2 linked regions of the Caenorhabditis elegans genome follow. The protein of the gene in region 1 interacts with the protein of each later gene in a pairwise test. Each region holds a gene or a part of one and is shown on either strand. Other genes may lie near its edges. The genes, in order: rpl-6 and let-756.

What was found.
Region 2: the proteins of rpl-6 (region 1) and let-756 interact in binary tests that used the Caenorhabditis elegans proteins (3 or more experiments, as listed by UniProt).

What each region holds. Positions count from the first base shown.
Region 1 is NC_003281.10:7,206,367-7,210,322, forward strand, and holds rpl-6 (Large ribosomal subunit protein eL6), read left to right. Parts: upstream 1-2,080; 5' UTR 2,081-2,088; coding exon 2,089-2,217; intron 2,218-2,246; exon of another isoform or gene 2,247-2,430; intron 2,431-2,444; coding exon 2,445-2,628; intron 2,629-2,652; exon of another isoform or gene 2,653-2,783; intron 2,784-2,826; coding exon 2,827-3,014; intron 3,015-3,033; exon of another isoform or gene 3,034-3,164; intron 3,165-3,236; coding exon 3,237-3,389; 3' UTR 3,390-3,423; downstream 3,424-3,956. Other genes in the region: Zinc metalloproteinase dpy-31, read left to right, coding at 24-447, 498-728, 808-933, 985-1,063; prps-1 (ribose-phosphate diphosphokinase), read left to right, coding at 3,742-3,835. UniProt on the Caenorhabditis elegans protein: Component of the large ribosomal subunit.
Region 2 is NC_003281.10:6,404,944-6,410,572, forward strand, and holds let-756 (Protein let-756), read left to right. Parts: upstream 1-2,185; 5' UTR 2,186-2,193; coding exon 2,194-2,283; intron 2,284-2,551; coding exon 2,552-2,623; intron 2,624-2,672; coding exon 2,673-2,719; intron 2,720-2,925; coding exon 2,926-3,322; intron 3,323-3,625; coding exon 3,626-3,691; intron 3,692-3,735; coding exon 3,736-3,842; intron 3,843-3,893; coding exon 3,894-4,022; intron 4,023-4,279; coding exon 4,280-4,649; 3' UTR 4,650-5,090; downstream 5,091-5,629. Other genes in the region: C05D11.5 (Putative hydroxypyruvate isomerase), read right to left, coding at 5,158-5,336, 5,428-5,497, 5,583-5,629. UniProt on the Caenorhabditis elegans protein: Required for larval development. Probably by binding receptor egl-15, negatively regulates membrane protrusion from body wall muscles during larval development.

The sequences.
Region 1 (3,956 bases):
CTTGCTAAAAAATAATCTTCCAGGTCAACGTGATCAGTTATCTTTTAACGACATCCGACTAATGAATAAAATCTACTGCTCCGCAGTCTGCCCATCAAAACTTCCATGTCAACGTGGAGGATACACGGATCCACGTCGTTGTGATCGTTGTCGATGTCCTGATGGATTCACCGGGCAATACTGCGAACAAGTGATGCCTGGATACGGAGCCACTTGTGGTGGAAAAATCAGTTTAACTAGATCTACAACTAGAATATCATCACCTGGATATCCAAGAGAATTCAAAGAAGGACAAGAATGCTCATGGCTTCTCGTTGCTCCACCAGGTCATATTGTAGAATTTCAGTTTATTGGAGAATTTGAGATGTACTGCAAAATTAGACATTCTTTGTGCATGGACTACGTAGAAGTTAGAAACTCTACTGATTTTGCAAATACTGGAATGAGGTATATTTTGTAATTGCATAGTAATTACCTAACATTATGATAATTTCCAGATATTGTTGCTATGGAACTCCTCCAACTAGAATCCGTTCTGCAACTACTGATATGGTTGTACTTTTCCGAAGCTTCTACCGTGGTGGTAAAGGCTTTGAAGCAAGAGCCCGTGCAGTACCAGAGGCGGGTAACTGGAATTCCTGGAGCCCCTGGACGGCATGTTCCGCAACTTGTGGAGCATGCGGAAGTCGCATGAGAACCCGAACATGTCCACCTGGAAATGCATGCTCGTACGTTTCCCAAACTAATCAATTGGACCTTTATATAACCATAGCTAATGAAAATATAAAATAACTGTAAATTTTTCAGTGGGGAGCCAGTAGAAACACAAATTTGCAATACTCAAGCTTGTACGGGTATGTGCGCTCAGAAACGGGAGGAAGAGGGTCAATGTGGAGGTTTCCTTTCTTTGTTACGAGGCGTCCGTTGTAGACAGTAAGTTCTTCAATCAACCAAAACTTTGAATTTTAAATTTCATTTTTTCAGAGAGAAGACGGTGATGGCTCCATGCGAGAACGCGTGCTGTCCAGGTTTCACTCTTCAGCGTGGCAGATGTGTCCGGTGATCACCAATTTGTATCCATTATTTCAATTCCATATTTTATCCTGTAACCTACAGAACTCTTACGAAGCTACGGGCCAATTCCTAATCAAACCAAATTGTTATAATCCTTATTTTCACTGTTTCATTTTTCTTCTTCTAAATTAAATACCACCTCTTTTTATGTTGTTTCGAGTTTGTGTGTATGATTGAACGAGTTTGACCATGTTTTTGATATAATAAATATTTTTGATGCTTTGTTTGGACAGACAGCGGTGGTATTGGCGAATAGATCATGAGACTTAGATGAAACTCGTTTTAGAAACCTTTTCAAGAACTTCGAAAATATTTCCGCTGGGTGATCTGATCGAATTTAAGATGGGGAAAGATTTTTTACTGAATAAATTATCTGGTGAGGAATTACAATTCCGATCTGTTTTCATTTGATCATTTTTCAGGTACCTGATCAGGTGCAAAAAACATTTTACATTAATAATTTTCGTTTTGAAAAACTAATTTTTAAAATTTATGACAGATAATTAACAATTTTTTGATTTAATTATAATTATTATTATTGCCTAAATAACTTTCTGAAATATATAAAAATAAACATTTTTCATGAAAAAGTTGCATTTTGTGTTGAAGAACAGGGAGAAATAACACACGTAAAACGAGTGTCACCGTAGTCAGACGCGGGTCTCGCCGCGACGAGGCATTGAATACTCAGGCAACAAGCCCTATTCGCTGATTTTTTCGTGCTTTTTAATTCTTTTTTCGATTTTTACATGTTTTTAAGAAAAAATAACGTTATTTCCAGTTTAAAAATGTAAAAACATGATTCCCATTAAAATTCTGGTTCATTATTCAATTTAATTCTCTGTTCTTTTTGCCAGAAATCGTTTTTTACATGTTTTTTAAATTTTAGGATTCATATTGCTTGATCTCTTTTTTAATCAAAAAATAATTTTTAATCATCCAATTCATAATATGTCTGTCGTTTTTGTTAAATAGTTGGTCAGAGTTGAAATTAATTATTTTGCAGGGTACAAAATGGTTGGAAAGAGAAACCTTCCGGTCATCAGCAGAAACTTCGACCTCTCCCCAGGAGTGCTCCGCTTCTCTGCTTCCCGACTTCGCCTGAAGAAAGGAGAGAAGAAGCCGAAGTTCACCAAGGACACTGTACGTTTTTTTCTCAATAAAATCTCTTAAACGAGGTCCAGAGTCACCTTTTCAGCAAAATGCAGTTAGGGTGCTAGGATTTCTCGAAAATGAAATTGGTCGTATTATGCAAGTAGGGCTTGCTTTTGCGCTCCCCGACTTCACCTCATTCCCAAACATTTCCTACAAATTAAAAAACTTTCAAGATAAATTGTTTTCAAAATTTATACTAATCAAATTAGTTTTAGAGCGCCAAGCTTCCAAAACTTCAAAGAAACGGAACGAAATTCGCTCTCGGACATTCCAAGACTGTCACTCTCCGCAAGACTCTCACTCCAGGAACTGTCCTCATCGTTCTCGCTGGACGTCATAAGGGAAAGCGTGTTGTCTTCTTGAAGCAGCTCCCACAATCCGGACTTCTCCTTGTCACTGGTTAGTTGAACGCGTATTTCAAAGATACAGCATCGAAAATGGACGGACTTTCCCGATGGATCGTTTCGTATAATTTTGGTGCAAAATAGTAGAGAGACGCAGTGTTACTCTTCCTTACGTTACCTGTATCTGGAGAGTGTCAAGCGTTTCCCACATTTATTTTTAAAAGCTGTAAATTCAAATAAATTAAATGTTTAGGACCACACAAGATCAACGGATTCCCACTTCGCAGAATCGGACAAGCTTTCGTGATCGCTACCTCACTTAAGGTCAACGTCTCCGGAGTCAAGATCCCAGAGCACATCAACGACGAGTACTTCAAGAGAAAGTCCACCGCACAAAAGACCGGAAAGAACATCTTTGCTTCCGGAAAGACCGAGTACACCGTAGGTTATTTATCATCGCTTTTTGCATTGAAAAGGGACGGGCTATCTTTATGGATTGTTTCGTATAATTTTGATGCGAGATAATAGAGAGGCGCACTGTTACTCTTCATCACTTTTTCTGTGAACGGAGAGTGTCAAGCGCTTCCCACAATTTCTGGAATAACCCATATGTAGATAAATTTTTAAAGTGATCTTTTCGATTTTCATATTTATTTTTTGCAGGTCTCCGAGCAGAGAAAGAAGGACATCAAGACCGTTGATGCCCCAATCCTCGCTGCCATCAAGAAGCACCCAGAGCACAAGTTCCTCTTCGGATACCTTGGAACGAGATTCTCACTCGGAAAGAACCAGTATCCACACAAGATGCAGTTCTAAATGTATTTTGTTATTGAATAAATTGTTGACATTTGTTCGTTATTCGTCATCAATTTGTTCCTCTGCCGACATCGTCAGTCAGATTCTGAATAAACTTGGAGCGTGTTAGCAGGTTTACTTGGTTGTTCAGGTGAAAGATTGTCAGGCTACTTGCATCGTTGAGATTATCAACTACGGTAATCATACAAATTTTGTATTCGCGGTTTTTCAGAAAATTCAATTTGAAGAAAGAAATCGGCTAACTCGTTCCAGTGTTTATCGATTTAAATATTTTCAATGAAGGGTACTCTCTTTCACATTAGAGCAAACCTTTCCAGAGAATAACCTCCAAGTATTACCTATTAAAATCTCGATGTTTGGAGGCATTCGAGATCGTCTATTTCGCTTCCAGAAGCACAATCGAAGTGCCCGCAACGAGTTTTTAGGAACACATCCTACATTACCAGGTTAATAATGAACGAATGTACATAGTTTCTTTTCAGATATGTTATTTTTCAAGCTTAATTTCTGAAGTTTTGCTACATTTTCATATTCTGACTGAGATTTAGAAAATTACAAAAAAGAGGA
Region 2 (5,629 bases), 800 kb from region 1:
AAGTTTTGACACTTTTGAAGTCCAGTTGATCAAACTCAATACCACAGTTGACATAACCTCAAACACAAATCGTCTAGACATACCTTTCACACGTAATTCAAAATGACCCCAATGTTTGTCCTCTCTTCGTGTTCATTTCATCCTCCCTCACACCATCACATTCAGTTAGCTCGTTATCGGGAATGTCAGAATGTGTCCGATGAATCCGTGTCAATTCTCAATCATCATCTACCAACTTGATCCCCTCAAAAAAATTTTGCAAGAGAGAGCAATTGTGTTGTTGAGTGAAACACCCTCTCATTCGGTAACCCAATCCCTGAGAGCAGTTTCTTCGTGTTTCACTTGAAGATCAGTCGTTTTGTGATAATGATGATGATGATAAAACATAGAGGACGGGAGCTCTTTTGAATAAGAAGAAGAAGCCAACTGTCTCGTTGATAATCTGTCGTCTCTTCATTCACCATTATCATCTTCTCAGACGGACTAAGACGCGCGGGATTCGGACTACGAGAGTGAGAGAGAAAGAGTCTTTGTATCCTCATTGATTATCAATTATTATCTCACACGTTTCATCCTCGATTTCTTTCTTTTTCCTACATCAACTATTACTCATATTTTTCTTGATCTTTCTTCTGTCATATGATTTTTCGGGTACTATAGGATTTTAGTTTTCAAGTTTTCACACTCAGACATTTAAATATATTTCTAGATTCTCATAAATGGGTCTTGCCACGACTGTTCCGTATACCTATTCATGAAATACCGTATTCGGTTTATGCTTTTTTTCAATTAAGCATTTTTTAACATGTTTTCATTTTTCTAACAGTAAGACAATATAAATTTACTTCATTCCAGTATTCCAAAAAAACACTTATTTTTTTCCAAACTTACTTTTGTCAAACTAATCATCTACTTTTCACATATCCATCTCCACATACGTGAAAATGTGAATAATTCTTAACTTACCATGGAATTCGTAATTTCATGTTTGCTATAAATTTGAACCATATTATTATGTGTTATTTCTGCTCATTTTTTATCGAACGTCATTCTTAGTTCCTCAGAATAGTATCGCTTTCTACTATTTTTCCAAATGCATCATACTTTATTAGCTCAAATTTCATTCATTTTCGGAAGAGTATTGTTTGCGGGGGATGTTTTTTATTTACAAATATGACACTATTCTGGGAATCTCTACAAATTGGCATTTTTCCAAAATGGTATTTTTCTGTTATAGCCTAGAGATCCTACACATTTTGATGCTCTTTTCATTTATTTTGATCTATTTTTCCTCCTTTTTTGAAGTTTTTTTTTGTGTTTTTATTTTGAACAAATGTTATGAACAACTGTGTAAATATGATCTCAAAACTTTGTCGTCACTTGTGAAAATTTGTGATGATTCAATCGGTTCAAATCACTTTGCCAAAACTACATATGTTTTCTCGGAAAAAAAAACCGTTGTTGAAATTTTCCACAGATACACAAAAACTCCTAAATGCAGAGCCTACACCTGCCTCTTACCTACTCTAAAATCTGTTGAGTGAACCATAAGACATTTAAAGTTGAGCAACAACTTTTTTGGGAAAAATAAACATTTTGGAAATTTGCAAGCAAAATATGTGGCTTTTCACAAAAACTAGATTACAAAAAATACTTTCATATTTCTCAAAATTCTTAATCACTTTCTTATAAAAAATTTGTAATGTTATAAATTTTTGAACTTGTTGTATGATTATCGGATTTTAAATTAGTAGTATACTACTTTTTTCCAAATATAAAGATAGAATATTAATAATCTTCTTTCTTTTTAAAGTTTTTATTCAAAGATACTTCTAATGCCCCCGAACAAACTCTAAACTCTATTTTGCATCTTATTGAACTTGGTCATTGTGATCTGTTTCTATTTATCTGTTTTCTCAATAGACTCTCTTTCATTGTTGCATTCCTTCATTCCAATCTTACCGTTCTATTTGTTTTTTTTTCATCACAATTTTCCATTTTGCAAGAAAGCCTGAGCCTTCTCCCAACTGAGCCTGAGTGCAAACTCGTGCCAGAAAAGGAGTGGAGGCGGAGGTGAAGATTGTTTGCTCCCGAATCTCTGTACTTGCCCTTTTTCTCATTTATTGACTCTTACTTCCTCGTTCTTCAATATTTCCAAATCATTACAATTTCTTCAAATGTTCAGATGAATATATGGCCGTTCCTGCCGCCTCATCGATAGTTTCATACGGAGGAGCAGCCACTTCTAACTTTTTGACAACACCAGTTACACCTTTTCTTGCGGTAAGTTTACTTCTTTTAACCATAAATGTTTAATTTTTTAATTTTTTTTTGAATTAAGAACGTTTGGAAGTTCAAGCTATATGTACTCAAAATGTGAAAAAACCAAAAATTGAAATATTCATACAGTAACTTAAGAATCTGACACCTCTATGTTTTTTGGAAAAAATTATAGCACACTAGAAAATCTAGGATAATGTTTTTTTCTCCCACAAATTGATTACTTTTTCAAAGTTAAGATATGAACTGAAACTTAGAAATAAATTTTCAGGGATTCTATAATTCAAATTTTGTAACCGATCGTATAAATTCATGTGCTCCGTATCGAGTGGACCGGATCAGAGTGAGTTTGAAATTAGAGATACAGTTGTAAACTTGAAAATGGTTTCCAGAAACAACTACAAGATGAAGAAGAAAATGGGTATCCACCTGCTGATGAGTGAGTTTTTAAGCTTTTCAAACTTTTTGTAACAAGGGATCTCGGATTTTTTACTCAATTCTTGAAATTTGTTTTCTTTCACAGGGCAACGACAATTTATCAAAAACAACAAAAAACATTTTTTTAATCGAAGTGATCATGATCAAAAATTAAAACTTGCCAATGATTTCAAAGGCATTGCGTTTTTGACTAATTTCTACTTCCAGCCGTCGCCGCGGAGCCCTGTTTTGTCGTTCGGGAACCTGGTTGGAGATGCTTCCTATCGAAAATCCTGACGATGGATCGACACGTGTCAAAGTTCATGGAACAAAAGAGGAGAGTTCCAAATTCAGTATAGTGGAGTTTGTGTCAGTGGCAATGAGTCTTGTATCGATTCGAGGAGTTGAAACAAAGAATTTCATTTGTATGGATCCATCGGGGAAATTATATGCAACACCATCATCTAATTATTCAACAGAATGCGTTTTTCTCGAAGAAATGATGGAAAATTATTACAATTTATATGCGTCTTGTGCTTATGGTGACAGGTTTAATCCCTGGTATATTGAATTACGACGGAGTGGAAAACCAAGGAGAGGTCCTAATTCAAAAAAACGTCGGAAAGTAAGTGAAATATATACTCATTCTGCTTTGACAGCTCGTATCGGAGATATTATTACATTTTAGAAAAATAATTTTTAAAACCCGATTAAAGTATATTTTCGAGCATATGTTCGCAAGAAAATGTGGTTTTTACCAAAAATTAGAAGCTCGAGGTCTGGAACGAGCGAATATTTCCTGATATGTACATTAACTTTTCTCTCGTTTCAATAAGTTCCTACCGTACTCGCGGCTACTGTAGCTAGATACATAAAGAAATCCGTGTGCACTTTTTTTTGATTGAAATACATTATCCGTATATTTCAGGCGAGCCATTTTCTAGTTGTTCATCACGATCTTGACCGGTTACGAAGTCCCGTTCCAAATGGAAATGTGAGTTTTTTCGAGACATACAGTTTCAACTTTTTGATTTTCAGGACGTAACCGATCTGGTAGTTGCTTCACTCTTTCACCAACCTCCCAGTCATCCATTATTCCGACAGCAGACCGTTACAAAACCACCAAATCCACATCGTATTTCAAAGTAAGCATTTATATCAAAAGTATCAGATTAGAGCTAATGAAATTTTTGTAGTTTACGAGCAAAAGTGGAAATGACGAACCAAGCTGAGAAGCAAAGATTATTAGAAGAAAAGAAAAGACGAAGAGAAAAGAAGAAACGAAGGAGAGAAGATCGATTAAGAAAAGAGGAACAAATTAGAGAGTTAGTTATTATTCTGAGAAAAAGAAAGCGCAGAGAACTGAGAATTATTATGAAAGTATTGAAAAATAGCAGAACATTTTTTTGGTTTTTAAGATTTGAAGCCAGACTGAAATGGCTTTTTTTGGGTATCGTTCCGTTTCAGTTTTTGAGCGGCAAAAATAAATTCAATGCCAGGTAGCACAAAACTATTTGAAACATTTATGATGATTCCACGTGTGACTTTCCTAGATCTATACCAATTATCAAACGTATTTCAGAGCCCGTCGCCAAGAGCTCAAAAGTCTTCGTGAAGAAGAACTCCGACGTCGTTATCAACAACAACAGCAGCAACAAGCATCTACTCAAACTCGGTACAATCGTCCTCAAAATCCAGCGAATCCTTATCCAACGTATCGACCTCTTCCAACAAGATCAACAGTACAATCTCCACGACCTGCATACAATCCATATTGGCAGTCTCCAGTGACACAGGCTCCTCATCACAATTCCCATCACCATCATCATCACCATCCACGTGTCAGCTCTTCATCAGACCCTCAACAACGTCATCAATCACAACAACACTATCTAGCTCAGACAGTGTCAAATCCAAACCGTCAGAATGTTAACTATCAACGATACCCGTGAACGATCTCTCTTCTTATGATACCCCGCACAGCATCTATCATCATGATCTTCTCATTTTCTTTCCATTTCTTCCTGCCTTCTTTTGCTTAATTAATTTTTTATCAGGGCTGATTTTGAGAAGAAGCGCAGTACATTGTCGTGAAGTTCGTAAGGCACGGTGCTTTAGAAATGAAACCCTTTCTTGTGAATATTGAAACACACAACGAATTTTCTAATTTTCTATTTCTACCTTCATAATATTTCTGTATTAGACTCTTAAAATCACACCATGCTCTAAATACGACAATTTGCGTACACTACTGTTTTTCTTCCCAAGCTCGCCCCTTTTAAGTATGTTTTCCAAGTCTCTCTAAAACACCCCCAACTCGCCACGTGTCTCATTCCATACTCACGGGTTTTGTATTTTGAACATACTGTAACTTACTATTATGAATAATATATATTTGAAAAATATGTATTGTTATTTTAAAAAAATTATCAATGGAGCGAATTTACAAAGACAGGTAATTCAAAAACTTAGAGACATGTTCTCAATCCAATTGAATGAAGGCTTTGCATCCAAATATTCAGCACCAATAACCCATGATGGATTGATCGAACGGATTTCATCGAAAATAAAATGATAATCGATTTCTCCGCGTGTATCACATGCACCTCTATTTGGAACTTGAGCCACTTGAATATAGCCTGAAAAACTCGAAAAAAATCGACGAATGAAAAAGTAATTTCAGAAAAATAGGGCGTAAGCTTATTTTCATCATCATCCTTTTCAACTAACCAATATAATCTTTGAGCTTTCTCATAATTGCTCCAATTTGTCCGTTGATTTGTTGAGCGTGGAATGTGTCCTGAAAAATTACAGTTACTTTTCGAATTCTTATTTTCAAAAAAAATTGTGCATAAAATTCGATGTTTTATGTTCTATTGACTTACATATTGAATTTTCAAATTATTCGATTGATCCATTTGGATCACATCCA